Alligator mississippiensis: one gene and its partners. The protein of the gene in region 4 interacts with the protein of the main gene of each other region in a biochemical or structural test. Links are inferred from orthologs where the notes say so. Each region holds a gene or a part of one and is shown on either strand. Other genes may lie near its edges. The genes, in order: LPL, APOE, DAB1 and LRP1.

Region 1 (7,092 bases), on a different chromosome or scaffold from region 4:
GTCAGCAGACCTGAACTCTGAATTACTGTGGGAAACCTAAACCAACAACAATTCCCCAATTTGCCAATATTCTGTACACAGAGGTAGACTTACAAATCATTAGATACATGCAGCAATCCTGAGCTAGATCCTCAGCCCAGGTAAACTGGGAAAGCTCCACTGAAACCAACATGCATACATGAAGTCAAACATTTACCCAAACAACAGTAAAAGTTCTGTTGAAGTAGCTGACCCTGCAGCTGATAAGATACGGTATGACATCACACATCAGTCACCCTGAATTACCATCCAAGTTGCTTACGTTAACGCAGGCCCCATAATAAAACCACTTCTGTAATTCAGTTGACTGTAACTAAGGGGCTATATACCACAACTATTAAATTTTATCTAAATAAACAGTTTAAACAATTGAAACCATGCAGTAGTTACAACTCCATGTAACAGTTCACAAAAGCGGTTTAACTGGACAACGCAAGAGATTCTTCTCGTACTTGAAGTATCCCTTTCCTGAAATCCACAACTTACATCTTGCAACTGGCTAATTCATGGGCAATATACTATACTTGTACAGAGCTCTCAAAGCCCAGGAGGATGACACATAGGCATAAAAGTCTACCCACAAGCTAGCACTACATCTCAGTGCTTCCCTGTGGGATAAATGCTTAACTCAAATGCATTTGGCATGCTTGTAAAATGATATGCTGGGAGCATTTTCCCCATCCTTTTGGCTGTTCTGCCCGGAGGGTCCGGAGTTATCCAAGTTAATCAGCTACAGTGCAGAGTAAAACTTTAATGCAGGTTCTTCCCATCACACAATGTGGTTCATCTCCCCCTGTAGAGTCTATATGGTAGCAGCTCTGTTGATAGTACCCCATACGTCATATTTTTAAGCTCCACCAAAAGCTGCTGGCCTAATTTTGTTCTTAATTACAACAATGTAAAATCAGGTGCAATGCCACTGATTTATATGATGCTATTTAGGGTCTACAATAATAAAACTGAGATCAGATTTTAACTCTGCACGATTCCTTCCCTTGAACTTCTTTTATGCATTATGAAGGGTTCTGGATTCAGCGGTTTCATGTTTACTTGGGGATCAAATCCTGCATTCTCAGGCCTCTGAAAACATTTATTCACTTCATCCCCAGTAGTTTAGTGCAGGTAAGAACTAGCATCTGAGGCCTGCAGTGTAGAATGGACAGAGGATGGTCTCGTATCCCCTAGTACCTCTTCTTAGAGAAGAGCCAATGCATTAATTGGGAAGCCTCCAAAGGAAAGACATGCCAACAGGAATGAAAAATACCCACAAACTTCCTCCAAGAGGAAAGCTAACTACTTCCTTTAACACTGCTCTGATATTGATTAAAAGGCACTCTACAAGTACCTTTACTAGAAAAAGATTAGATTCAAAGTGACACTACCTTCCTTCGAGTGTGCCTTACCACCACTCCTTCCTCTTAAGTTTTAATATTGCCCTGCAGCTCTGTTGTTATTTACAGTGCCTCTAATAGGATCATCCTATTAGAAGAAGAGAAAGTTTCACTTAGCGGTTAGGATACAAGTGTCCAAACTATTCTCAACGGGCCTGGACTTTCTGAAGTGTACGAACACAGTCATTTCTTTTACAACATTTGCAGGGTGTAAGTCTGAGACTTGGGCTTAGTGTACATGATCAAGTTTTACAGGTGAGGTTGTCAGCTAGTGAGAAAAAGAAAAATCACACCCTGTTAGCTTATGTAAATGCACCTGCAAAGCCTCTTGGGTGCAGACACCCTTTGATGAAAGGAGTAGCTTTTTGTCAGCTTAGCTCCTGTCCACATAACAGTTCTGCCCAGTGTGAAAACATCAGGCCTCACAGCCAGCACAGCCCAGCTTGCAAAACCCTGAGTGGATGAAGCCGTCAGCAGGGAGAGCTAGGGTAGCTCTGGCAGTAATGAACCCCCTTCTGCTGGAAAGCTGTGTTCACACCAGAGGCCCCAGCTATTCAAGTAGCAGCAGCCTGCACAGCATAAACATAGTCCTAGCTTATATACCATTTGGGAGCGTGGTGTCACTGTGCCAGCAGAGTCTTGTCAACAGATGCTGTGTCTACACCACGGGCCTCTTTTAACATTGTGTTGCCAGCAGAGGCTCTATCGTGCAGCCAACACTGCTCCGTTACTAGATCTTTGATGGGCACTGGGCTGCGACTACTCAGCTTGCTAAAGACTTTTTAAAGTTTGTGGATTAGTAAAGTGAGAATTAGTGATAGCTATTCTGTACACGCAGCTGTCTCTCTAGTCTACATTTCATCGGCTTTAGAGAGGAGAAGCGCAGCTGGAAAAAAGTCGAGTGTACATCCAAAGGAAAAAAAAGCAGTTGCAACCTGCCCTAACAGCATACTTGTGTCGCAGCGACCGCCTTCACGCAGCCGAATACATCCGGAACCCAAGGACTGGGAAGCCAGAGGCCGAACCTGCACGTTGCAGTGCCCGGGCCAGGCCCGTTTTAACTGCTCCGGTGGCATCAGGCCGCAACACCGCAACTGGCGACTCCTGCGTCCGGACCCGCGCTCGCCTTTCCCAAGGGCGCCTCGCCGCGTGGGCCCCCTGCGAGGTGCTGAACACCTGCACCCCGCTGCCACGTGCGAGGTGGCGCCGGGGCCACGCGGAGGCCGGCACGCTCCTCTACACAGCGCTGCGCGCGGCGGGAGACACCCGCGTGTGCCCGGCCCAGCCTGCTCCCGAGGGAGCGACAGCCGGGCTGCCCCCGGGCCCGGACGAGCCGCGGAGAGGACTCCCGCCCGCTCTGCTCCACCTGGTGCCTGTGGTGCGCACGTGCAGCCCCGAACACCGGCCGGGCCCCCGCAGCTCAGCTCAGCCCCTGCTACCAGCTTCCCCGCCCCGCGCCCGCTCCCCTTACCCGGGCCGGCAGCGAGGGCGCGGAGACAGAGGCACAGCACGACCAGCAGCGCGCCCCACGCCATAGCAGCGCCCGCGGCGGCACTAGTCCGCGTTGCCCCGGCGGCCCCTTAAGTGAGGGCAGATATGCAAATATGCCTCCGCACCTATTGGCTGGGGCGGGGGCGGGGCGGGGCGGGGCGGGGGCCACCACGTGCAGGCGGGGCCGCGCCGGCTGCGGGACCTGCCCCCGGCCCGGCCCCTCAGCGGCGGGAGTAGGGGGCGGCCCGGGCACGGCCGGGACCAGCTTTGAGCACCTTCATTTCTGTAACTCCCAGATGCGCAGTTGTCATTCCGGTTAAAACTGGATCGCAGTTTCTTTTCACTGCGCAGCTAGCTGAATGAACGTGCTAAAAGTTGGTCGGGCCCTGACCCCGTTCCGGGCGACGTCTGTTTTTCTCTTGAGGACAGACAGGCGCCCGGCTCCGTATCAACAGAGGACTGAGTAGCAGAAAACCCACTGGCGGCACGTGCACCCCCTGAGTGTGGCAGTGCACCCCCTGCAAAAAGGCGCCTCCAACTCAGCTGGCGATGCTTGAAGCTGGTTGCTGCTCGCCACCCCACTCCCTGTCCTCACTGCCAACACCGCCAGCAGCGTCTGCAGGTGGTCCCCAATCGCCGCTGGGGGCCACCAGCACTGCCAGCGGCATCTGTGAGTGGTCGCCAACCATCGGTCGGAGCTCACCACCACCCCACCCTCCCACCGTCGACAGTGCCACTGCCGCCTACAGGAGCTCGTCGCTTGCTGCCACCGCCTGCGGGAGCTCACCATGCCCCCCCCAGCCTCTGGGGGCATGCAGCGTTCATGAAAAAAACAGAACATCCTTGCAGCTCGCCTTACAGGTACGAGCACACTGAGATGTGGGTCATCTGTAAAGCTGCCCACCTTCTGGGACAGTCTGGTGGCCCGGATGCTGCTCGTTCAGCACAAGGAGTGCCATGCAGCTCTTAGTGACCCTGGCATGTATTGTCCCCCATGCAGGTCCCATCTTATTCAGCCCCCAGGATGGACAAGGCTTGTCCAGTGCCTAATTTGCTCTTGGTCATTCGGTAGGTCTCCCCGGCCATCCATGCTGCAGGAAATTCAATTCACACCCCGTTTCCTCATGGTCTCTCCTCATCCTGACAGCTTGGCCAGTAGACAGAAGGACTGGCCATCCCAACAGCCCTAAGCCAACAGGTAGTGTCTTCATTTTACAGTGGAGGATGTAAGGCACAGAGAGATTCAGGTGAAAGAAAAGGTATCATAATTTTCAGGGCTGGTTTTTAGAAGTCTAGGGCTTGATTTTTCAGAGCACTTCGTGTGAAGTAGCACTTTGTGTGTGTAAGGCACCGGTTCACACTGGTTTCAGGTGCACATATGAGAGCTCCACACAACTGCAAATCAGACTAGGGTCTCAAGCCAAGCACCCCAAAAATGAGGGACAGGCAATTAGCAACTACCTGTGAAACCTTCGGTTGCACTGACTTCCCTAGCATCATGGGCACAGGCAGGCAGAACCCAAGGCAGAGTTCTGCTCTTAGCCATGAAACCAACTTCTCTCTCTCTTTCTCTCTCTGTGGTCCCCTACCTCATTCAGTATATACCTTCCCACTTCTGTCAGAAATGAGGGCAGACAACAGCCTCCTTCACTGCACAGCCCTGGGCTATCCAGACCACTGCCCATCCTTTTCACTGAATGAATCAGGGATCTTGCAGCGAAAAACACCACTGGGTCACATAACTAAAAACAGTGTCATGCCTGTGCACTATAATTTGTCTGATTTGTTTATTGAGGTTTTTACAAAAAAAAGTGGGGGGAAAGCCCAGAAATTATATTGTGCAGCACCATCTAGATGCCCACATGCCATGGGCAGGGTTGGGACATGTAGATGGACTGCCCAGACCTATGCCACGGGAGTTACTGGAGCACCTGATAGCATTCTTTCAGTGGACCAGCCACTAGAGGGGGGTGAGAAACATGCTTTACCAGTGGGTTTCACAGATCTTTTCCTAAGTGTAGAGACCTGAGAACCTATTCCAGGTTTTGGAAGGAAGCGGGTTCATGGCAGGCACAGCTCCTTTTGTTCCTTTTCATCAAGCCTGGCTGATCTTCCCATGTCTCCACCAGCTCTCCCCAGCTGGATCAGTCCCCCTTCTCATTAGCCCCTAGGAACAGTTTGTCATTTAAGGTTGTCTGTCTCAATCTACACTCCTGTTCCAGCTCTTGTCCCACCTATATTGCCGTCAAGCTATTCTCTTCTCCTATACGTAGCTCCCCCTGCTCTACGTCTCTTTGTTGCCCCTCCTCTGTACTTTAGGGAAGGTATTCTCTATATCAGAGGTCAGCAACATTTTTGGGCAGAGTGCCGAAAACACCCACAACTTCAACTTGTAAGATGTTGGTGTGCCAGGGATGGATGACAGGAGAGCTATGAGGGGCCCAATCCTTGCTGTTACCATGTAGCCCCGGCCCCTTCTATGCCATCCACCCTGAGGCACGTGTGCCAAGCAAAATGCCTTCGAGTGCCACACTCTGGCACCCGTGCTGGGGGTTGCCTACCCCGGCTCTATATCCTGCATGCTTCCTTGGTACGGTAGGGGTTGACTGAAAGAGCACAAGAGAGACAAGCTCTCTGCCCTCAACACTATACAGTCCTGCTCAGCTGCAGCACCATTGGGCTGGAACATGTTCAGTGCAGATGGGATCTTCTGAGAATTTAGCCTCCAGACTCCTAATCAAGATTTTGAAAAGGCTTGTATAACTTAGTCAAATGTGAGAAGCCTTTCTTCAACAGCAAGATGCACATCTCGGTACCAGGGTTGCCAGCGTACCAAATTTCAAGCTTCTGCTGCAAAACAGATTATCAGAGTTTCTCAACGAAAGAGGCACAAGCCTTTTTAAACATGTATTAAGCAACATATTTTCCTCTAGTCGCAATCTGTTAATCATTTTACATGAAATGTGCTTCCACTGCCCATCAAAAAAATCACACTGAGTTCATTAAGAGACAGACATCTTACCTGGAAATGTCAGCTCAACTAGTTAATGCTTGCTAACAGGTACAAACAATTTAAAGCAGATGGTTGTAATGGAGATTGTCAAACAACCTTAACTCTAGATAACGCTGCTCCCATCCAGAGTTGCATCCTTATGAACTTCTTGTGCTAAAAAGTAACATTTGGAAGGCATTAATTTTAGTTGCCTTTTAATGACTGAGAAGGAAAATGTAGTAACAAATAATGGGCCACTTCTTTTTGGATCATTATCAAGTGCTTTGCTGACCAGAAGCAATTCACTGAGTAGAGCCAGTGCTTAACATCTTCGCTTTGTGTGCTGTGCCGTATAGAGGAAAATCAAGTTTGTTACACAGAAATTGCTCTTTTGAGTCCATTTCTCCCCCTCAGTTATATTCATACTGTCTTTTAGGAGTATGCCATACAATGCTATACAAAATCCCCTTTTGTGTTTGCAATTTAAGGGGGGAAGATATTGTCTGGAACAAATGAACTACTAGTATTAATTGTTTTCAACCAAATTATAAGGAAATCTGCAGTAAGTGGGACCTAAAGAAGAAAAATATTTATCCTAACTCTATATGGCTTGTAGTTGGACTGTTCTGGCACTATATATTTCCCAGTATTTCAAAGATTTCCTTTCAGCTGCATATAATTGTCATCAGACTGCAAGGAATCTTCATGCATTGACCTATATACGCTCATTCCAACCATTAGCTGGATTTGAATTTTGGAAACTCTGTAAAGTAAACAACTTTATGAGAGAAAACATAACTAAATCTATAAAACAAAGACTGATTTATAGTCTCAGGAAATTCAGAAGTGGGTTGAAGGTAATAAAGTAAAAGCTAGAATGTGTTCTATCTAACGAGTTTAAAAAAAGTCCAGAGGGACTGGAGACAGGAGTTGCAAAATGAGGCTGGTAACTATACCAAAAAGCCATGGAAAAGGATAACACAAAATAAATTAATAGATATGCCAAAATTCCCAAATGGCTGCATTTTGCCCTTACTTCAAGGGAACTGCTGTAGAAATACCCCTAAATGACATTGCTACACCCACTGGGAAACCCAGATCCAAAAATACTACTTGTATGACAGTGTTCCTAACAGAGCTGGAGACTTGAAGTGGGAAGTTTAAAAAAATGAGGGAAAG
Region 2 (8,013 bases), about 24 Mb from region 4:
ACTACTCTCTTCCACAGACCCATGTGAATTCAGGGGCTGATCCTGATTCACCCACTGGAGAACCTAAGTGAACGCTGAGGTCTGCTCTGGATTCACTACTGCCCCCACGAGCCCCATGTGCCTACTAGGACCAATCCTGATTAACCCCCCACCACCACCACCACCCCTGGGAGCCCATGTGAATGCTGGAGTCTGCTCCGGATTCACTACCCCCTCCCGCCCCGCCGCCCCGTGTAACCACAGGGGCAGATCCTGATTCACCCCCCACTAGGGAGCCCCAACCCCATCAGTTCCCCATGGGACCCAGTGGGAAGCAGAGAAGGAGCAGGACGCAAGTGCCTGAAGCAGGCCTTTATTGAGAGCGTGACAGTGGAGACTGAGGGGGGCACGGGGCTGGGGAGGGGTCCCTAGCAAGTGCAGAGGCCAGTGGGGGCAGCAGGCCCTGCGGGGCTGGGGAAGCGCCTACTGCTGCTCCTTAGCCTGCAGCTTGTCCAGCAGCCCCTGCATCTGGGTGCGGATGTCCTCAAGGAAGGGTTCGAGCCACTCTTGCAGCTGCGTGGCTGCGCGGTCCAGGGAGCCACGCATCTCCTGGGCGCGCACCTCCAGCTGCTCACGCAAGCGCTGGCCCTGGTCACGCAGTGCCTGCTGCAGGGTCTCCAGGCGCTGCTGCCCCTTCTCGCGCAGCGGCTCCAGGTCCTCGCGCACGGTCTCCAGGTGTTGGGTGGCTTCCTTACTGTAGGCCTCCAGCTTGCGGCGCAGCTCCTCTGTGTCCTTGGCCAGACGCTTGCGCAGCTTGCGCAAGTAGGTGCCCACGCGGCTGCGCACATCTTCCAGGTTCTGGCCCGCCACTTGGCGAGCCTCACCCAGGTACTGCTGCACCCGGGTCTTGGCTTCCTCCATGTCAACACGCAGCCGCTCGCCCAGCACCGTCACATCTGTATGCAGCCGCTCCCGCATCACCACCGCTTGCGGGCCCAGCCGTTCTTCCACGTCCTTTCTGTACGCGTGCAGCTCCGCCACCACGTCCTTGATCAGCATGCTGTAGGGAGGCAGCGGTCAGCAAGGCCAGGGCACAGCCCCCAGCACCCCAACAGCCAGGCCTCAGCACTGAGCAGGGCTGGGGGGGGGGGGGGGTGTCACAGGCCTCAGGACCCCAGCAGGGAGCAGAGCTGGGGGGGTAAAAGCCCTCCAAGGACCCCTTTTCCACAGTCTTGCCTGGGAAGGCTGGTCTGTGCCCCGCTGCACTGAGCCCACAGGGGTAGCGGGGGGCTGCCCCCACCTACCCCCATTCCCAGGAGCCCCCTGAGACAGCAACAGGGTGGGTGGCACTCACTCCATTTCCTTGCCCATCTGGGAGCTGGTGATCTGCTCCGTGATGTCATCGGTAGCTAGGCTCAGCCGGTTCACGTACTCCCGAAACACTTCCACGGTCTCTTCCCACTTGGCCTTGACCTTGGTCTCCACGTCCTGGACGTCGGCCTGGCAGGCTGTGTGGGATACATGCACACATGGAGATCATGGGGTGAAGGCCCCAGTGTGCCACCCCCAGACAGGATCCCAGCTCCCCGTGTCCTACTGGATGCAGACCCCTCCCAACCAGGATCAGGGCTCCCAGCTGCAATGGGCTGGACCTGGTGCTCCCCATTGTCCCACCCAGGCTGACCCACGGAGCAGCGGGCTGAGCCCTGGCCCCCCACACCAGGGCAGCACAGACACAGGAGAGGCTGATGCATGGGGCTGCGCGGAGCCAGGGCATCATGGGCCAGGGTCCAGGCTGCCCCTTGGCTGCAGGGGGTGGAGGGCGATGCTGCACCCTTATCTCCTCATCTCCCCGGGCGGGCGCGGCTCACACAGCCTGGCGCCAGGGTTTACAGCCTGGGGGGAGAAGCGGGCGGATCGCCCCATTCCTTGCTGATGAGGGCAAGGGCTGAAGGTCGTTTCCAGCGGGACCGAGTCCCGGCTCCTTGTGCCGGGACAGGACCCCAGGGCTCTCGGCTCCTTGTGCAGAGCTGCTGCTTCCTTCCCCGCATGCGAGAAGGGAAGAGTCCCTGTGCCCCTACAACTACGGGCCCCCGCCTCGCTCCGACTTTGCCCCGCGGAGTCGCTCCGGACCGGGCGCGTGAAGCGTTCACACAGGCGGGGGGGCCGGGCTGGGCTCTTACCCGCCAGCAGCAGCACGGCTCCGAGCAACACGGTCCAGACCCTCATGGCTGCGGCTCCACCTGCGGGGAGAGGCCGGGGCGCGGGGTGAGGCAGAGCAGGGCCCTTGCTGCACCCCTGTCCCATCTCCAGTGCCTCCTCCCCGGCTCCAGCACCCCATGTCCCAGCTCCAGCACCCCCACCCCGGCTCCAGCACCCCGTGTCCCAGCTCCAGCACTCCCTCCCTGGCTGCACCCGGCTCCAGCACCCCGTGTCCCGGCCCCAGCACCCCCCTCCCCAGCTGCACCTGGCTCCAGCACCCTGTGTCCTGGCTCCACCCGGCTCCAGCACCCCGTGTCCCGGCTCCAGCACCCCGTGTCCCAGCTCCAGCACCCCGTGTCCCAGCTCCAGCACCACCCCCCCCGGCTGCACCTGGCTCCAGCACCCCGTGTCCTGGCTCCACCCGGCTCCAGCACCCCGTGTCCCGGCTCCACCCGGCTCCAGCACCCCGTGTCCCGGCTCCAGCACCCACTCCCCGGCTGCACGCGGCTCCAGCACCCCGTGTCCCAGCTCCAGGACTCCCTCCATGGCTGCACCCGGCTCCAGCACCCGCTCCTCGGCTCCCGCACCCACATCCAGCACCCCGTGTCCCGGCTCCAACACGCCCTGCCCCGGTCGGCCCCGGCGCGGCGCACCTCCTTCGCAGGCTCCTCGGAGACCACGGGCAGTCCTGCGAGTCTGAGCCAAGAGGTCCCGGCGGCGCATTAAGTACGGAGCGGCGCCGGGGGAGGCACCACCTCCGAGGCGGCTGCAGGGCAAAGGTGACCCCCCTCCCCCCGAGCCGGCCCGGGGCAACTTCCCTTCGCAGGGAAAGTCTGAGCCCCCCGCGCCCCGCCCGACCCGGGGGCTGCAGGGGGACGGCCGCGTGCTGGGGGTGGGGGGGGCTCCTTGTGACTCTGATGCAATCGCGAGCTTCCTCCTCTCGCCCCGCACAGGAGATGACCCGACTTGTCCCTGCATCCCCATCCCCCGCCCTGACCTCTCCCCTGCACACCCATCACTGCCTTCCCCCCAGCCCCGACCTCTCCCCTGCACCCCCATCACTGCCTTCCCCCCAATCCCTGACCCTCTCCCCTGCACCCCCATCACTGCCTTCCCCCCAATCCCTGACCTCTCCCCTGCACCCCCATCACAGCCTTCCCCCCCAGCCCCGAACTCTCCCCTGCACACCCGCGCCCTGACCTCTCCCATGCACCCCCAACACTGCCTTCCCTCCCCAGCCCCAACCTCTCCCCTGCACCCCCATCACTGCCTTCCCCCCCCAGCCCCGAACTCTCCCCCTGCACACCCGCGCCCTGACCTCTCCCATGCACCCCCAACACTGCCTTCCCCCCCCAGCCCCAACCTCTCCCCCTGCACCCCCATCACTGCCTTACCCCCAGCCCCGACCTCTCCCCTGCACACCCCGCGCCCTGACCTCTCCAATGCACCCCCATCACTGCCTTCCCCCAAGCAATGACCTCTCCTCTGCACACCCCCGCCCTGACCTCTCCCATGCATCCCCATCACTGCCTTACCCCAATCCCTGACCTCTCCCCTGCACCCCCATCACTGCCTTTCCCCCAGCCCCGACCTCTCCCCTGCACCACCATCACTGCCTTCCACCCAGCCCCGACCTCTCTCCTTTACACCCATTACTGCCTTCCCCCCAATCCCCGACCTCTCCCCTTCACCCCCATCACTGCCTTCCCCCCAGCCCCGACCTCTCCCCTGCACCCCCATTGCTACCTTCCCCCAGCCCCAACCTCTCCCCTACACCATCACTGCCTTCCACCCAGCCCCGACCTCTCCCCTGCACCCACAACACTGCCTTCCCCCCAATCCCTGACCTCTCCCCTGCACCCCCATTACTGCCTTCCCCCCAGCCCCAACCTCTCCCCTGCACCCCCATCATTGCCTTCCCCCAATCCCTGACCTCTCCCCTGCACCCCCATCACTGCCTTCCCCCCTAGCCCCAACCTCTCCCCTGCACCCCCATCATTGCCTTCCCCCAATCCCTGACCTCTCCCCTGCACCCCCATCACTGCCTTCACCCCAATCCGTGACCTCTCCCCTGCACCCCCATCACTGCCTTCCACCCAATCCCTGACCTCTCCCCTGCACCCCCATCACTGCCTTCCCCCCAGCCCTGACCACTCCCCTGCACCCCCATCACTGCCTTCACCCCAGCCCCGACCTCTCCCCTGCACCCCTATCACTGCCTTCCCCCCAGCCCCGACCTCTCCCCTGCACCCCATCACTGCCTTCCCCCCAGCCCCGACCTCTCCCATGCACCCACATCACTGCCTTCCCCCCAATCCCTGACCTCTCCCCTGCACCCCCATCACTGCCTTCCCCCCAGCCCCGACCTCTCCCCTGCACCCCCATTACTGCCTTCCCACCAGCCCCAAACTCTCCCCTGCACCCCCATCACTGCCTTCCCCCCAGCACTGACCACTCCCCTACACCCCCATCACTGCCTTCACCCCAGCCCTGACCTCTCCCCTGCACCCCCATCACTGCCTTCCCCCCATCCCCGACCTCTCCCCTGCACCCCATCACTGCCTTCACCCCAACCCTGACCTCTCCCCTGCACCCCCATCACTGCCTTCACCCCAGCCCTGACCACTCCCCTGCACCCCCATCACTGCCTTCACCCCAGCCCCGACCACTCCCCTGCACCCCTATCACTGCCTTACCCCCAGCCCCGACCTCTCCCCTGCACCCCCATTACTGCCTTCCCCCCAGCCCCAAACTCTCCCCTGCACCCCCATCATTGCCTTCCCCCAATCCCTGACCTCTCCCCTGCATCCCCATCACTGCCTTAACCCCAGCCCCGACCTCTCCCCTGCACCCCCATTACTGCCTTCCCACCAGCCCCAAACTCTCCCCTGCACCCCCATTACTGCCTTCCCCCCAGCACCGACCTCTCCCCTGCACCCCCATCACTGCCTTCCCCCCACGCCCGACCTCTCCCCTGCACCCACATCACTGCCTTCCCCCCAATCCCTGACCTCTCCACTGCACCCCCATCACAGCCTTCCCCCCAGCCCCAACCTCTCCCCTGCACCCCCATTACTGCCTTCCCCCCAGCCCCGACCTCTCCCCTGCACCCCCATCACTGCCTTCCCCCCAGCCCCGACCTCTCCCCTGCACCCCCATCACTGACCTCTCCCCTGCACCCCATCACTGCCTTCCACCCAGCACCGACCTCTCCCCTGCACGCCCAGCACTGCCTTCCCCCCACCCCCGACCTCTCCACTGCACCCCCATCACTGCCTTCCCCCCAGCCCCGACCTCTCCCCTGCACCCCCATCACTGCCTTCCCCCCAGCCCCGACCTCTCCCCTGCACCCCCATCACTGCCTTCCCCCCAGCCCCAACCTCTGCCCTGCAGCCTGATCACTGCCTTCCCCCAATCCCTGACCTCTCCCCTGCACCCCCATGACTGCCTTCCACCCAGCCCCGACCTCTCCCCTGCAGCCCGATCACTGCCTTCCCCCCAATCCCTGACCTCTCCCCTGCACCCCCATCACTGCCTTCCCCCAGCCCTGACCACTCCCCTGCACCCCCATCACTGCCTTCACCCCAGCCCTGACCTCTCCCCTGCACCCCCATCACTGCCTTCCCCCCAGCCCCGACCTCTCCCCTGCACCCCTATCACTGCCTTCCCCACAGCCCCGACCTCTCCCCTGCACCCCCATTACTGCCTTCCCCCCAGCCCCAAACTCTCCCCTGCACCCCCATCATTGCCTTCCCCCAATCCCTGACCTCTCCCCTGCACCCACATCACTGCCTTCCCCCCAGCCCCGACCTCTCCCCTGCACCCCCATCACTGCCTTCCCCCCAATTCCTAACCTCTCCCCTGCACCCCCATCACTGCCTTCCACCCAGGCCCGACCTCTCCCCTGCACCCCCATCACTGCCTTCCCCCCAGCACTGACCACTCCCCTACACCCCCATCACTGCCTTCCCCCCAGCACTGACCACTCCCCTGCACCTCCATCATTGCCTTCCCCCAATCCCTGACCTCTCCCCTGCACCCACATCACTGCCTTCCCCCCAATCCCTGACCTCTCCCCTGCACCCCCATCACTGCCTTCCCCCCAGCCCCGACCTCTCCCCTGCACCCCCATTACTGCCTTTCCACCAGCCCCAAACTCTCCCCTGCACCCCCATCACTGCCTTCCCCCCAGCACTGACCACTCCCCTGCACCCCCATCACTGCCTTCCCCCCAGCACTGACCACTCCCCTGCACCCCCATCACTGCCTTCCCCCCAGCCCTGACCTCTCCCCTGCACCCCCATCACTGCCTTCCCCCCAGCCCCGACCTCTCCCCTGCACCCCCATCACTGCCTTCCCCCCAGCCCCGACCTCTCCCCTGCACCCCCATAAATGCCTTCCCCCCAACCCCGACCTCTCCCCTGCACCCCATCACTGCCTTCCCCCCAGCCCCGACCTCTCCCCTGCACCCCCATTACTGCCTTCCCCCCAGCACCGACCTCTCCCCTGCACGCCCAGCACTGCCTTCCCCCCAGCCCCAACCTCTCCACTGCACCCCCATCACTGCCTTCCCCCCACGCCCGACCTCTCCCCTGCACCCCCATCACTGCCTTCCCCCCAATCCCTGACCTCTCCACTGCACCCCCATCACTGCCTTCCCCCCAGCCCCAACCTCTCCCCTGCACCCCCATTACTGCCTTCCCCCCAGCCCCGACCTCTCCCCTGCACCCCCATCACTGCCTTCCACCCAGCACCGACCTCTCCCCTGCACGCCCAGCACTGCCTTCCCCCCACCCCCGACCTCTCCACTGCACCCCCATCTCTGCCTTCCCCCCAATCCCTGACCTCTCCACTGCACCCCCATCACTGCCTTCCCCCCAGCCCTGACCTCTCCCCTGCACCCCCATCACTGCCTTCCCCCCAGCCCCGACCTCTCCCCTGCACCCCCATCACTGCCTTCCCCCCAATTCCTAACCTCTCCCCTGCACCCCCATCACTGCCTTCCCCCCAGCCCCGACCTCTCCCCTGCACCCCCATTACTGCCTTCCCACCAGCCCCAAACTCTCCCCTGCACCCCCATCACTGCCTTCCCCCCAGCACTGACCACTCCCCTACACCCCCATCACTGCCTTCCCCCCAGCCCCAACCTCTGCCCTGCAGCCCGATCACTGCCTTCCCCAATCCCTGACCTCTCCCCTGCACCCCCATGACTGCCTTCCCCCCAGCCCCAACCTCTCCACTGCACCCCCATCACTGCCTTCCCCCCACCCCCGACCTCTCCACTGCACCCCCATCTCTGCCTTCCCCCCAATCCCTGACCTCTCCCCTGCACCCCCATCACTGCCTTCACCCCAGCCCCGACCTCTCCCCTGCACCCCATCACTGCCTTCACCCCAGCCCCGACCTCTCCCCTGCACCCCATCACTGCCTTCCACCCAGCCCCAACCTCTCCCCTGCACTCCCATTACTGCCTTCCCCCCAGCCCCAAACTCTCCCCTGCACTCCCATCATTGCCTTCCCCCCAATCCCTGACCTCTCCCCTGCATCCCCATCACTGCCTTCCCCCAAGCCCCGACCTCTCCCCTGCACCTCCATCACTGCCTTCCCCCCGATCCCTGACCTCTCCCCTGCACCCCTATCAATGCCTTCCCCCCAGCAATGACCTCTCCTCTGCACACGCCCACCCTGACCTCTCCCCTGCAGCCCCATCACTGCCTTCCCCGAATCCCTGACCTCTCCCCTGCACCCCCATCACTGCCTTTCCCCCAGCCCTTACCTCTCCCCCGCTTCCCCCCAACACCCATGAGCCCAGCCTGGCCTGCTGCAGCTGCT
Region 3 (7,910 bases), on a different chromosome or scaffold from region 4:
TGTGGTTTGGGATGACTTGAAAAAAGGGTTTTGTCCCATAATCCCAGCTCCTCATTCAGGGCTATGCATTAATACATGATATTATTTTACATTTTTTTTTTATGACTAAATATATTTTTGATGAACTTGCAACTCTTTAGCACATCTAATTCATTGCTAATAACCGTTTATTGTTTAAAGATTAGCTTTGAAAAAGGAACCAACTTCAGCCTTGGCTCATCTCTCTGAATGTCTGTACGCACCCATGACGTGCAGGACAAGCAGCCAAGCGAAAGCTATGGGGCGAGTCTGGGGGAAATCGGCACATCTTAGCATTGTCAGACCCTGGATGGAGGGCATCACCTGCTGTCTTCTTCTGGTCAACCAGAATTTCATCTCCCACCCCAAATGTGCTTACTCTCTCTCACAAACACACACTTAACCCTTGATATTTTGTCCAAGCAGGGATGTAGCTTACCATAAGCCTCAAGTAAGTGTAAGGACTATAAAATAGACCCATTCTTTAGAGCATGGAAAGGATAGGCCAATGATTAGTAGGACACTAATTTTGGATTTAGGGCAACTAGATTTAAATTCTTACTTCCACTTCCTATAGGAAGTCCGGAAAATCACTTAGGCTGTATTTTCACTGCTTCTGCAAGACCGCTAATGCACAATAGTTATTCTCCTACAAATTTCTATAGAAACAAGTTTTCCCAGTAGGTAGCTAGGCAAGCTCTATATTATACCCCCTGCCATGACTGACCTCACAGTGCAATTACAGTGCCTTTTCTCCACTAGGATTTTACAGCAAACTAGTTAGCACGCATCAGTTATTCTGGAGTAAAAATTATTTGTAGCGGTGAAAACAAAGCCTAAAATGTCTCGGTGCCTTGCATAAAAAAAAACAACAAAAAAACCCAGGATATTTGTACTTTCTTGCCATGCCAGGGTACTGTGAAAAGACTCTGCAGAGCTCAGATGCTAAGATAACAGGAGCCATATTGGAGTTAGCAACTTGCATTTTACTACTGCCACTGGTACTTTTTAATACTCATCACGGCATTTTCACATCTGACTGCCAGCAACAGCATCCGGGAAAGAACAAACAAACAACAAAATGGACATTGCACAGAGAAGCCGAGATAATTATGTTTTCCTATGGCTAAAAAATGCAATCCAAGGTAGGATGGGGTTTAGGAATACATTGTCCCTATTTGGTGCTAGAAATTGTAGCAATGATTACTAATAGACCTCTGTGAAGTGTAAAACATTACGTTGATTAGTTTCCAGCAGTGCCATTCCGCCTGTGAAAAACAGCCTGAAGTAAAAATGAGAGCGAGAGAGATTGTCCACTGCTGTGTTAAGAGAAGAATTCAAATTCCATACCATGCTGAGTAACCACATATAAAACCAGTACCTGTGACAAAGGCTCCCAGCTGAGCCCATGTACAGTGGGTAGCCCATTCTCTGCATACAAACTCTAAAATATATTTATGGTCCATTTTAACCTGGTGGGTTTGTTTTTTTTTTAAATGGTGTTCGCATCTCTTAAAACAATAGCGGCAAAATCCGCTGGCAGAACAGCTGCCGTGGCTGAAATGCAGAAGTGGGGGAAAATATTTCACTCAGTATCCTATGCAAGAGAGAAACATCGCAGGGAGACAGGCTCTTAGCATTTTTCCAGACGTAGGAGAGAACAGGTGCTTCATCCGTGGTTTTATACTCAAACTGTGCAGGCATCTTTTTTTTCCTGACTTTACTGGTGGATCCGCTACAGAACTGGAGTAAAAACATCCTAGCAAGAAGCTAAGTCTTTTCAAAAGAAAATTTTATATGCCAATGACTTCCCCGGGGAAGTGGTGTTTGAAGGTGCTGGACTGGGACTCAGGTGACACAGCAGGCTTAAAGTGGTGACTAAGCCACAACCTTACTGTGCGACCTTGAACAAACTGCATAGGGCCGGCTATTTTGAGGTGTTAAACATCTACACCTGGAGATCAAAATGCTCGGGCACTTCTGAAATATAGCTCTATAATACCCTCCTAACTGAAACTCCTCACAGGAAAAAGGGAGGTAATGATGTATTCAGGAACTATAGTAAAGGATGCCATAGTAATTCAGAGGTAGATAAACAGGTTAAGTAAGAGCAACTTCTGAACAGCAGACTAAAGTGTGTCCCTCACCTCTTCCCTACTCGGACTTCAGAGTATCATAACCCTGCTAATACAGCCATCCAGCAAAAGACTAGAGAAACTTATTTGTATGGTTCCAACACAAGCAGAAAAAAAAAATAAACCCATTTTTTTTAAATAAAGCCTCCAAGTTGCCACTTATCCATCATAAACAAGAAATGCAAAAAAGGAGTGGCAATTTTCCTTTGCTTTGCAGCTCAGCTTGAGAGGCAAAACATTTGCAAGGATGCATTTGCTGTCTACCAAATTAAAAGCACAGGAGCTCCAAGAACCTAAAATAATAATAGCTTATTCTCCACTTAAGCCAAGCTAGTATTTGGAAACATTAATGCTCTGCCAACAGTTTCATAACATATCAGAGAAAATATCTGCTATATAGACAAAGTAATGCAATAATACTAAAACCTGTGGGTTTTGCCCTAACCTTCCCTCGGACACTGTAATTCTGTAGTTGTGCACAACCTAATGAGGAAGTGATTCTCAGCACTCTCGCAGTTTAAAAGCAATGCCACGCAAACCAGCTAAGCATCTGACCATGCAATGTTAGCAAAACCTCTTTCCTCCATTAACTCAAACGCATTCCCATCACAAACTATATAGACATGAACATTTCTTACTTTGTTGCTGCCTTAACTCACCTCATCCTGGTCAGAAGGAACACTAAGGATAGACTTTCAGTACCTCTAATGACTAGTAAAAGTAAAAAGATTTTGTACTCATTTTGGTTGCTTTCTCTCTCAACTTGAGAGTGAAGAGAAAAAGCACACTCAGCATTTAACTAGCTCTCTGACACCACCTGTTACACTCCACCTTGTTTCAAGCAACCCAGCTGCTGAATTCCAACTGCCCCTCCCCAAGCTGGGGGGAGCTAGGTTTGAGCAGTGAAAGGAACCCAATATGTGCTAATGGGTGGGCTTGTGCTAATTAGAAAATTAAGTGAACAAAATAGCTGTGTCATGGTTAGCTAGCAATGCTTTTAGTCAATATGGGAGGGAGACGGCATGCTAGCTGTGTAAATCATTAACTATTTCTTTTATTTTTTGCCCAGAGGCAGCCAGCTACACTTCTGCATATACTCCATAACTCTGTGTACTTAAAGCTCAGTGCTTGCATTAAGAATAAAACTCCCAAAGAAGTGTTCACACATGCAGAAGTGAACGCTGGTTTATTTACCAACCTGCTGTCCCTATCCAAAAGGCAGTTTGACAGGCAGACTGACAACAAAAGTAATGCCGGAGATTTTTTTTTTCATGCCTGCCTACACACCAGTCACTTCCAAGCTCTGAAACAGGCTGCTCACTACCTGCTGTGTTGATCTACTGCTTTCCACAGGGCGACTGCCTTGGAGACAGCTGATGCCTCTGCTTCGCTCTTACCTTGTCTTTCACCTAGTCTCCATGTGTTCTTAGGTGTATCTCCAATTTGTCTCATTGAAAAGCAAGCGGACCTTCTCTGGCTGACCTGCGTTGCTCAAAACAAGTGCTCACTTTGAATCTGATTTTAAAAGACACCATCTGTTTTTAATGGAACAAAAAATTCTCCCCTAATTAATTACACCTCAAATAATTGTATTTACTCATCTAGCCACTTAACTGAATTCAAAGGTCATGTACTATCATTGTGACAGGGTCCTTGGGGCCATCAATAATTTATATTTTATGGCAAGGAAAAAAGTTCATCTATGGGATAAGTGGGATCATCTAAGACAAAAACTGAGTCCATTCAGCACAAGGATGTGATCTATGTACTGCATCCAGAACAGTGAACTTGTGAATCAAAAGTCATTCAGCTTGACTGATGCAGCGTGTTTACAGATGCAGAGATCAGAAGGTCTATGAAATGCTGGCTGTGGACATAGGGAGGTGAAAAAGTGAGGGAGAGTAGTCTTTGTATAACTTACAAGGCCATGGCATTTGCCTAGAACAATTATTCCATCATGGAAATGTTAATGCCGCGGTACCTTGATTTAAATAATGAACTCAACCAAATGGAACTTGATAAGCAGCTCAGAGGAGGCGGAGAGGACTCAACAGGAAGATGTCATGTCCAACCAGGGAATGGTCAGATTGGAGAGATGGGATCCCTTCCCTTTTCTTCTCAAGCTAAGGGGAGCTTTCAGTAATGGGCTTTGACAAGCATTCGCCGAGATATGTTAGGCAGACACTCAGAAAAAGGAAGTCCCTGTCTCAAGAAACTTATAGTGGAGCTCCATTTAAGCATTAAACCTAAACCTACACATTCTCAAATAAATGTGCTTCAGTCTAGGCCCCCAGTTCCTTAATTAGGAAATGGAATAAGAGTAGCTTTATTTCACATGTAGAAAGCACTGGAAATAAGGACATCCAGGATGCCTGAAGGTCAAGCCCTGAGAATTTAATAGATTAGACATGGTTAGGCACATACGTTTGAACACATGTGGGCCTTAATCCTCTGCATCTCAGGACTTGTCTAAGTAATCCAAGTTGCTGTTTGATGAAACCCATCTAGTAGTTACTTGACATGGCTGACAGTAGGCTGAATTTTTATCGCAAGTAGCTCATGAACATAATGCAAGGTTGAAGCATGCGTGTCCCGTGGCCCATGCAAGAATGCTGTTCCTGCTCATGTGTGTATGAACGGGTTGCCCCCTGGTGGCTGCCTTGCAGAATTTATAACTGGAGTGGGGCTTTGTGACTTGTATATTAAGAGGTAGAGTTTGGGAGGCAACGCTGAAGCATCAAGGATATAATTTAAATTAAGTTTGTAGACCTTTTCCTTCCAAAAGTGGCATTAAACTATAAACCAGATACTGGATCCAGTTGTCTCTGAGATTTTCAGTAGAGTTCTTAAGTTATTCGTGAACCATGGTCTCCCCTGCAGTTGCACATGGGTGGTCTTTAGGACCTGGGTGTGACAGGCTGCGCCACCTGGGGCCAAACTTTGTGGCCCACCCACCTGTCACCGTGACAGCAGGCCTACTCAGGGCTGAGCTCTTCGTGGCCTGCCCACCTGTCTCTGGGCAACCGCCCGCTTATCTCGCCTGCCACGCCTTTGATAATAATTGATTCATATATCGATGTCAATTAAGCGGGAGGCTACCTATCGTAACGCCCCGATGCCGGGGGGCGCTCTGCGGCTCCGACCTCCCCCAATACTGCAGCCCAAGCCTCGCAGATGGCATCACGGTGTTCCTCATCACCGGCCCCATACTGGGCCCCAGAATCGTCCTAACAGGACCCCTCTATGATCCTTCCAATCAGGCAGCCACTCCACCATCATCCAGGCTACCTAGCCCCCCCGAAGCTATCTTCCCCTCTCGGGTGTGGTTCCCCCAGAACCTTTGGCTACCAGCCCTGGCCCACCTCAAGGCCAGTCGGGACCCCAGGCCCCCGGCTCTTGGGCGTCCCTCACGGTGGGCCCCCGGCCCTTTTGACCCTCACTGGTCCTGGCCCCAGCATGGGCCAGTCGAGGGTACTATCCCCTTCGGGCTGGGTCTCTAGCCCCTCTCTCTCATCCTCGGGCCTCACCGTGCCACTACTCCCTTCCTCCTAGGAGCAACCGCAGCACCACGCCCTGTACACAATGCACTCTCAGGGTCCACCCTTTCTGGGCCCCTCACAAACACTATCAGGGTTACCCACCCGGTGGTGGTGGGAGCTAGGGGTTAAGGCACCCCAACCCGCCTTTCACCGGGGTGGTAACTGGCCTGGTATTTCCTGGAGGCTCCCGCGCCACTGAGAGCACCACCAGGCCATCCACTCCTGGCAGGGTGCAGTTTCAGGTCATGCCCAGGACCAGGACCAGGACCAGGACCAGGACCAGGACCAGGACCAGGACCAGGACCAGGACCAGGACCAGGAGCCTCCTGCCAACCCCTTGCAGCTCCCCCCTTACCTCCAGGTCATTCACAGCAGCCCTACAACCAGGCAATGTTGCTACCTGCCCTCCTGCAGCCAAACTGCCTGGTTTATATAAGCAGCCTAAGCCTCAAAATGTCTGCCCTAATCAGGCACCTGGAGGCTGCCAGCTCCAGGCCCTTAAAGTGGCAGAGACACCCTGTGCTCTGCCACACTGGGCTAGAGGATACCTGTTTCAGGAGAGGCTTACTGATAGGATAGCAGACTGCCTGCAGATGACCGAGTTCAAATCACTTAGGCTTAAGCTTAAAAAAGTAGCCTTTCAAATTTCTGGGTATCTAACCTCATCCATCTTGGCCTCAACTTCCAAGGGTGCCAACCAGCACCAACTCCTTTTGCAGACCAAACGAAAGTAAAGTCACCGCAGGTTGGACACGTGAAAACTGAAGGCACTTAAAAACAAAAGTGATTTTTGAAAATCATCACCTAAATATTTCTGTCTTGGTTTCCCTACCAGGAATGGAAAAAATACCAGTCTTGGAGAAACATTATGAGTTTTTATTGATATACGCAAAGCCCACTGTACACATACCTCACATCCTGAGCTACTCAAGAGATTAGAACAAAAAAATGTAAAGTAAATATTACTTCCAGGAAATATACTGTGGCAATGTTTAGTTTAAAGAAATATCTCAGGAAATACCATAAAAACTCTGGTATTCTTACTCATCGGCCTCTTTAGTGCTAAGCAGTGAGTTGAATTTATTATACCACAAACTTCAATTTCTTTAAAGGAAAAAAGAAGGGGGGAAAAAATACTTTGGCACTTTACATTTGCAGTTCTCCTCCTCACATGCTGATTTTGTTTCCAGGAGTCTCTTTGCCTCATCCTGTATCTGCACACCTCTCTTACACCTTCTGATCCTGCTGGTTTCAGACTGATACCCAATTTCATTCATTTCTCCATTTCTAACACATGTTGTCAAACATGTTTTCCCCTGCAGCAAGGCTTAGTCGTAAATTCATCTGGAACTTTTTACACCACTGTTGCATTTGCATGCTAATCAGAGAAGCCTATGTCTTCTAGCCTAGAAGAACGAGAAAGCTCCAGCTGAATGCTTAAAGAGACTCTGTAGTTTGCAGAGTTAGAAGTCCCTCATTACATTTAAGGGGACCCTCTATGAGGTTCATTTAATCTATCAGGATTCAAAGATGGCCTTTAACCTCATTCCCCAACCCCCACCCCATCCAGTATCACAATTTGACCTCTCCGGGTCAATGCCATGGATTTTCTGCCTCCAGATGTGACTTTCTATTCCCCTGAGCTAATACTGGTAACAACAAGGATGAGATTGAATTTCTCAACTCGTGGGTGAAATATTGAAAAGAAATGATCATTTTAACAACTGCTGTTTACTGATGTTAAAAAGATTATATCATTTCACCATAACTCAGGCCTCTTTCAAACCTTTGCACTTACCAAGTTAAACAGAAAACACTTTGATCACTTCTAACTAGATGATAAATACATATATCTACTACAGACAGATGTGAAATCCATTTTTTTCCGTAAGACTAATAAAAAAAAAATCTCTTGAAATCTGATAAAAATATTTTTTTTTTTTTTTGCTGATACAAATAACATGAAATCTTTAAGGGGAAAGTGAGTGTTTCCCTATTTGTTGATATAAATCTTGTCTGATTCAAGATCAGCAGCAAATTTTGAGAGCTTTTCCTCCATAAAATACTGGTTATAAATGATGCTCTCACTGCTTAGCAATGTTTAGTCAAATATTAATCAATAATTAAGGATTAATCAATAACATCTGGTCTTATACCCCAATATCTTAATTCTGGATTCAAGTTATGAAATGCAGACCCTGGATCTGAAGACTTCCTA
Region 4 (6,920 bases):
GCCAGCGTGCAAGCGCAATGGGTAGGGCCGGGCACCGTTCAGGCATGCCTGCCCTGGCCCCCTGCCCATGCTCCCACGTCAGCCAGTTGGGGCCACACTGGGCAAGGACCCAGGAGGCCAGGTGCCCTCCCACAGCTTGGAAGAACCTCGGGCACCCGCCCAGAGCTGGGGAGGACCCGAGCCCAGGGCCGCTGGAGCTGGGGAGAGCCCGGGTGTCCGGGTGCCCCCCCGAGAGAGCCCGGGTGCCCGCCTGGAGCTGGGGGAGAAACCAGGCGTTTGGGAGGACCTCCCGCCCCCAGAGATGGGGGACAAATCAGGAGTCCGGGCGCCCCCCCTGCCCCGAGCTGGAGGACAACCCATGAGTCCTGGTGCCCCCCCCAGCTAACAGGCCCCTGGTGCCAGCTGTGCCCGTGCCCGGCCCAGCCGGGTCCTGGTGGGGGGACACTGCCCTTGGGGTTTGGGGCTGGGCACAAGGGGGGATTCCCCCCCCAGCCCAGCACCCCCCATGGCCCCCCCCCGGGGACCCGCCCACCGGGCCCAGGCCAGGGGGGAAACTGAGGCAGGAGCGCGGCGGCAGCGGGGGCGCAGCCGGGCCGGGGCACCGGGCACCCGAGCTGCGCAGGGGACCCAGGCGTCCCGCCCCCCCAAGCCCCCCCCCGGTACCTGCGCTGCTCCCGGCCGCGGCCGCGGGACCGAGCGAGAAAGCGAAAGTCGAGAGTCAGGAAGAGGGAGGAGGCTGCGGGGCGGGGTGGGGGGGGGCACGGCCAGGCCCGCCCCGCCCCGGGCACGGCTCGCACCCCACCCCGCCCCGCCCCGCCCCCGCGGGCCCCTCACTCTCGCCCCGCACCCCTCTGCCCCCCGCCCCGCAGCCCCCTCGGACACCTGGGTTCCACCCCCGCCCCGCCCCGCGGGATCACCCGTGCCTCAGTTTCCCCAGCCCCCCCGGCTCTCCCGCAGGCGCCTCGGGGCAGGCAGCTCAGCCCCGGGGGCTTCCAGACCCCAGTTGGGGTCCCTGCCCGACCCCCGCCTAGCGACGGCGCTTTGCTACCCCCTGGTGGCGGCGGCGGGAACTGCAGCCCTGGCCGCTTAATCCGGAGCGACTCCGCTTCCCGCCGCGTCTGAACGCAGCGCCCGGGGGAGGAGGCAGGACCCCTCCCCCGGCTCTCGGGGATAGACTAGCCGAGATCAGGGGCCTCAGGAGCGGGCCCCCAGGATCGCTCAGGATTGGGCCACTCAGGATCGGACCCCCAGGACCAGTCAGGATCGGACCCCCCCAGGCCTGTCCTGTGGCTCCGGCCGTGGCGGGGGGGGGCCGACCCTCCGTGTGGACGTGGCAGCCCCGATCCGGAGGGGGTTCCCCGGGGATAACGACCCCCTACCGCTGCCACGTGGAGCTGGGGGGGGGGGGGGTCAGCCTCCCCACTCCCTCATCCCTGCGACGCCGCCCGCTGCCACCAGGGGGTACCCGTGCACCGCCGGCCCCCCGCGCCCGGGGCACGTGTGTGTTGCACGAGTGGCGGGGCGCACAAGGGGAGGGATGTCTATTTACGAGGGGCAAAGGTGTTGCACCGGGCTGGGGGTGGGGTCCTGTGGCACCAGGGGCTGTCTATCGTACCAGGAGGGATATGGGCCTGTGGCAGGCAGTGTCTGTTGCACACCCGCTGTGTGCTTGGTGCATGGGGGGGGGGTGCCTGTTGCACAAGGGAGTGTGTGCCTGTCGCATGAGGGAGTGCCTGTTACACAAGGTGGTGTTGGTTGCCCAACGGAGTGTGTACCTATCACACAAGGGGGGTGCCTGTTGCAGGGGGGCTGTTGCACAAAGAGGGGGTATGCCTGTCACACGAAGTGGGTGTCTGACTTTGCGGGTGTCTGACTTTGTGGGGGCCCCACGACCAAGTCCCTCCACTCTCGCGGTCTCCACTCCCCCTGGGACCCTCAGGCTTGAGCTTTTGGGGTGTTGGGGGGCGGTCCGGGGGGACTTGTGCAGTCCCTGGCACAGCAGGACACCCCCTAGTCACATGGTCTCTGAGTGAGGGGCAGGGGCTGAGACCCCCTCTGAGAACTGGGGGGTGGGCACCCTTCACCAGGAACGCCCCGTGGGCCCAGTGCAGGGGGGGGCCTGATCCTGTGCCGCCTCCTCCCGCCAGGGGGGGACACAACAGTCGCTCCTTTTGCTCCCAGGCTCCCCTCTCCACTCTGTTCTCCAGGTTGGGACTGCCCCAGTTCCCAGAGTCAAGGGAACTGGGAACCAGTCCCAGCTGGAAGCTGGGCTCAGCTGGGGCTCGGGGGTGGGGAATGTGGGGGGGTGACAAGCATGTGACCTGCTGGGGGGGGCAGAGAGGACCCAGCTGTGATTCCAGCCCTGACATCCCCCTGCTGCCGCGCCCTCACAATCCCACATTCCCTGGCCTGGAGGTCGGAGCTGTGATTTTCCACCCCAGCCCCAGACTGAACTGCGAGTTGGGACACCTGGGTCCAACGCTCCCCTCTGCCCTTGCCCTGTGGCATCCCTGTGCCTCAGTTTCCCCAGCCCTGCCCCTCTGCCTCCCAGGCCTTGGGGCAGGGAGCGCAGGCCTGGGGGCTTCCAGACTCTCTTCCCACCCCCACCCCCTGCCCTGTCTCCTGCCCTGAGCATGGGGGAGTGTCGCATGAGGACGGTTGTGGTCCTGTTGCACAAGAAGGTACGCACACCTGTTGCACAAGGGCTGTGTGTGCCTGTTGCATGGGGTGTCTGTCACACAAGGAGGGATGTGGGCTTGTTGAACAAGATGTGCACACCTGTTGAACAAGGGCTGTGTGTGCCTGTTGCACAAGGGAGTGTCTGTCGCACAAGGAGGGATATGGGCCAGCCGCAGGAGGGGGGTGTACTGTCGCACGAGGAGTTGTCTGTTGCACAAGGGCTGTGCGCTTCTTGCTCCCTGGGGTGCTGCCTGCCTGCCTGGGCCTGGCTTTGCCAGGAGCCTGGAGGTTTGCAAAACGCCCTGTCACGGGGCTGTGGCTCCCATCCAGGACCGTGGCCCCTCCTGCCCAGCCAGCCGCAGCAGGGGGGCTGCCCTGCCCCAGAGCCCCCCAGGGCTGATGCATCCAGCCCCCAGCTGCATGGTGGGTCCCATGCTCTGCTGGGAGGGTGAGCCCTTGCCACCTGGCCTGACATGCAGCTGCCGCTGGGGAAGGAAGGCTGGGTCCTGGGGAACTGGGGGGTGGGGGGAAGGTGCCGTCATTAATCTCCAGGAGAAACAGAGCAGCCCTAAGGGCTGCTGGGCCCCTCCGTGCAGGGGGGATCCTCTGCCTGTCCCCAGACTCCTGGGTTCCCTGTACTGCTGCAGCCCCCTCCCGTCCTGGCCAGACCTGGGTGCAAGTGCCCCCCCCCCAGAGGTTGGCTGGGTTTTACTGGGGGGTGTGGGGTGGTCCATCCTGGCTGCAAAGTGCAAGCACTATCACACTGTATGGGGTCAGGTAGCTCCCCTTGCACTATCACACTGGGGAGGTTAGGCAGACCCTCCCCTTGCGCTATCATGCTGGCAGGGTGGTTGGACAGCCCACTCCTTTAAACTATCACCCTGGGGGGGTCAGGCATGCCCCCTTCACTATCGCTCTGAGGGGGGGTCAGGCACCCCCTCTTGCACTATCACACGGGGGGGTTGGGCAGCCCCCCCTTACACTATCACACTGGGGGGGGTGTCAGGCGCTCCCTCTTTGCACTATCACACTGGGGAGGGGTCAGGCCGCCCCCTTGCACCATCCCAGTGGGCCGGGCCCAACCCCCCAGTCGCAGAGCTCCCCTGGCCCCTTCGCACACCCCATCCCCTCCCTCGCCGCGCATGCGTGGTCCGCCCGCCCCCCCAGCCCATGACGTCAGGCAAAGGCGGTGCGAGCCCCCCCGCCCCGCGCGGAGCCGCCCCCCCGCTCGCCTCGCGCCGCCCCCCGCTCGCAGTGCACCGGGCGTCCGCGCGGAGCGGGTGGGGGGGTCCGGCCCGTGCATGAGCCCGCAGTGAGGAGCAGCCCCCGGCCCGGCCATGCCCGCCCGCGGCCCCGCGCTGCTGCTGCTGGGGCTGGCGGCCGGCCTGTGCCTGGCGCTGGACGGTGAGTGCCCCGCGCGGGGCTGCGGCTTTGTCGTGTCTGCGACCCCCGGGGCCGGGGGCGTTTGCAAGGCCCCCCCCCCCGGGGAGCGACCCTCCGTGGGGCCGGCTGATGTGAGCCCCCCCAGGCTGGGGGGCTTGGGCACGGGGGTGTTGGCAATGCCCCCCCTTGGGAGGGACCCCCCGTGGGGCGTGAAGCGGGAACATTGCACCCCCCAGGCTGGGGGGGCTTCAGGACGGGGGTGTCTGCAAGGTCCCCCCACCCCAGGAGGGACCCTCCGTGGGGCAGGGATGTTGGACCCGCCCAGGCTGGGGGGCTTGGGGGTAGGGGTGTGGGCAAGGCCTCCCCCGAAGCAGGAGTGTTGGACCCTACGTGGGTGCCCCATCTTCGCACCCCTGGGTGCCCAGGGATAGCGGGGGGCCAGGGAGACAGAGGCCCTGGGCTTGAGGGGGCTTTGCCATGACAGGCACTCCAGTGGAGCAGGAGGAGCTGGATTTATCCCCCCCACCCCAACTCCGGCTGGTGGGGGCCAGGGGTGGCAGGTGATGGGGCCCCCCAGGCCTTTGGGAAGGAATCTGCCCCCCCCCCATCAAATCCCCCCTCCCGGCGCTGCATTGCGCCGCTGTGCGTGACATGGCATCTCCCCGCGGCTGAGAGGGGGAACGGCCAGGCGGGTCCTGGGGGCCCCGGCCCTACAGCAGGGGGATGTCCCTTCGGTCGCGGGGGCTGCATTGAGCCCCCCCTGCACCCCCTGGTCTGGCTGCAGGGGCAGGGGGAGAAGGGAGCATGGCTAAGCCCCATGGGCTGCAGCTTGGGTCCTCCTTTCCAGGCGTCCGCTGCCCCCCTGCATCACGTCAGGGCTGGGGCGACACCAGCCTGCCCAGCTGGGCCCCAGCATGGGGGTGGGTAGGAGACAGGACATCACCTCTGCTTTCAGGCGATGAATTTTGGGCATCTTTCAGCCTCCCCCCCTCCCCCCCAACTTGTTCCCTGCGGGGCCGCAATCGGGGCTGTACACATCTCCGCTGGGTGGCACGGGGGAGGCTCCGTCGCTTTGCGCTCTCTTGAGACCGGGAGCAATCACGGAGCAATCAGGGAGCAATGTGGCACCATGGGCTGGGGTGGGGGGCAGTGAGGGTCATCCGGGGTCATGCAGGGAGTGGGGGGCGTGGGGGGTGAGACCCAGAGCCCAGCAGAGGCTGCTTCTTGCCAGGGTAGAGTGGGACCAGCGGTCGGCTTCCCGGGCAGCATGGGAACATGGGCTGCAGGCTCGGAGGGTGCCACAGATGGGGGCTCAGCTGCAGCCGGGCCCAAAGCTTCGTCTCGAGCAGGCGGGGGCCACTCTCCGGATGCCCACAGGGTGTCCAAGGCCTTCTCCTGGCTTTGCAGCATTGGGGAAACTGAGGCACAGGGCTGAAAGGTGCTTTGGTGTGACCCTGGGTTCCCTGGCTGGCACTGCCTCTGCTGGGTGCGATCGGGGCCAGGGACCAGACAGGAGGGGGGGCACGGTTATGGGTGGGGGGTGAGGACCGTCCAGCAGGGACAGGATTGGGACTTTGCTGCCGCCCCCCCCCCCCCCCCCTTCGGTGCTGTGATGGATGCAAGCCAGGGCAGGGGGAGCTGGGGGAGGGCACTGTCCTTGGCCGGTCCAAAGCCTAGCAAGCTTAATGAGTAATGGGGCTGGCAGCCCCTCAGCATGGGGCATATTGGGCAGCCCCCAGCCGACAGGGGCAGGGCTGACCCTGTGGGGAAACTGAGGCATGGAGCAGGCTCTGCAGACGGACCAAGAAGTCCTGCCCCACCCCCTCAGCCCTGCTCCAGGGACCTTCCTCCCTTATCAGTTGTTTGATTAGCAGGGTCTGGGGTGAGCTCCTGGGGTGGGGGTCTGCATGCAGAGGAGGCAGGAGGCAAAGTCCAGGGGCAGGAGGGGGCAGCTGCCCCCTCCCTGTGGCACAAAGGACACGGGCAGCCAGCCTCCCCCCCACACGGTGCCAGGGGGCTGGTGCAGGGGCTAGTGACGTGTCCCTGGGCATGGGTGGGGGCAAATCAGGCCCTTGTGGTCCCCAAACCTGGGAGCTGAGGGGGGCCAAGATGAGGGGGCTACGTCTGCCTGGCTCTGCCCCTATTGCTGCACCCTGGGTCAGTGACCTGGTCCTTTCTTCATCTTCCCTTTGCTCTGGTTTCACTTCTCCTTCTGGCCTCCCGGCCCCCAGCCTGGCTCTTTCTCCTGCCCCCAGGAAGCCACAGGATTTTGCCCCCAACTCGGCTCGTGCTCTTGGCATTTCAGGAAGGATCTTGGGACCTTCCTCGGTTTCCCCAGGCAGCTGGAGCCTCTTTTTTAGGATGGCTAACAAAGCCAGGACCATGCCTGTGTGGGGCACCCAGCATCCCAGCCCCCCCCTCGCCCCTGCACCCTGAGACCGTGGGATGGTGGGGGGTCCCTTTCTGGTTGTCTGGGGCCGCGGTGTTCCCGATCTCACCATGTCCATCGAAGGGGTCAACCTCTCCCAGCCTGGCAGAGGTTTGGGGGGGCAGAAGCCCCCCCTACACCCCTCGCAGGCCCCTGGGAGGTAGATCCATGCCCCCCAGAAGCAGCCAGGGCCTGTGCCTGGTGAGCCACGAGCAAGGTGCGGGCGTGCGGAGCCCAATTTAGCGCCTGGCAGTGACTCACGTCCTTGGCAGGGAGATTTGGGGGGGGGGTTGTACAGATCTTTGCTCCTGGGGAGGCTTTAGGGCCTGGTCCCTGTTTCTGTCCCCTCCCCGGGGGGCCTCATCCTGGTGGGCCCGTGGCGGGGGGGCATGTTTGACCCACGCGACTTCTTGCCTATCACAGTGCCCCG

The links.
Region 1: the proteins of LRP1 (region 4) and LPL form a complex in vitro, tested with the Homo sapiens proteins (3 studies listed by BioGRID). The link is inferred for Alligator mississippiensis from reciprocal best matches to the Homo sapiens genes LRP1 and LPL.
Region 2: the proteins of LRP1 (region 4) and APOE form a complex in vitro, tested with the Homo sapiens proteins (2 studies listed by IntAct, with this or other methods). The link is inferred for Alligator mississippiensis from reciprocal best matches to the Homo sapiens genes LRP1 and APOE.
Region 3: the proteins of LRP1 (region 4) and DAB1 form a complex in vitro, tested with the Homo sapiens proteins (2 studies listed by BioGRID). The link is inferred for Alligator mississippiensis from reciprocal best matches to the Homo sapiens genes LRP1 and DAB1.

Annotation. Positions count from the first base shown.
Region 1 is NC_081826.1:157,509,727-157,516,818, forward strand, and holds the start of LPL (lipoprotein lipase), read right to left. Parts: upstream 3,011-7,092; 5' UTR 2,966-3,010; coding exon 2,902-2,965; intron 1-2,901. UniProt on the Homo sapiens protein: Key enzyme in triglyceride metabolism.
Region 2 is NC_081838.1:31,168,778-31,176,790, reverse strand, and holds APOE (apolipoprotein E), read right to left. Parts: upstream 3,002-8,013; 5' UTR 2,905-3,001; coding exon 2,769-2,904; intron 2,223-2,768; coding exon 2,163-2,222; intron 1,488-2,162; coding exon 1,334-1,487; intron 1,040-1,333; coding exon 463-1,039; 3' UTR 337-462; downstream 1-336. UniProt on the Homo sapiens protein: APOE is an apolipoprotein, a protein associating with lipid particles, that mainly functions in lipoprotein-mediated lipid transport between organs via the plasma and interstitial fluids.
Region 3 is NC_081828.1:13,147,469-13,155,378, forward strand, and holds the start of DAB1 (disabled homolog 1), read right to left. Parts: upstream 3,005-7,910; 5' UTR 2,813-3,004; intron 1-2,812. UniProt on the Homo sapiens protein: Signaling adapter of the reelin-mediated signaling pathway, which regulates the migration and differentiation of postmitotic neurons during brain development.
Region 4 is NC_081838.1:7,162,162-7,169,081, forward strand, and holds the start of LRP1 (prolow-density lipoprotein receptor-related protein 1), read left to right. Parts: upstream 1-3,916; 5' UTR 3,917-4,016; coding exon 4,017-4,083; intron 4,084-6,920. UniProt on the Homo sapiens protein: Endocytic receptor involved in endocytosis and in phagocytosis of apoptotic cells. Required for early embryonic development. Involved in cellular lipid homeostasis.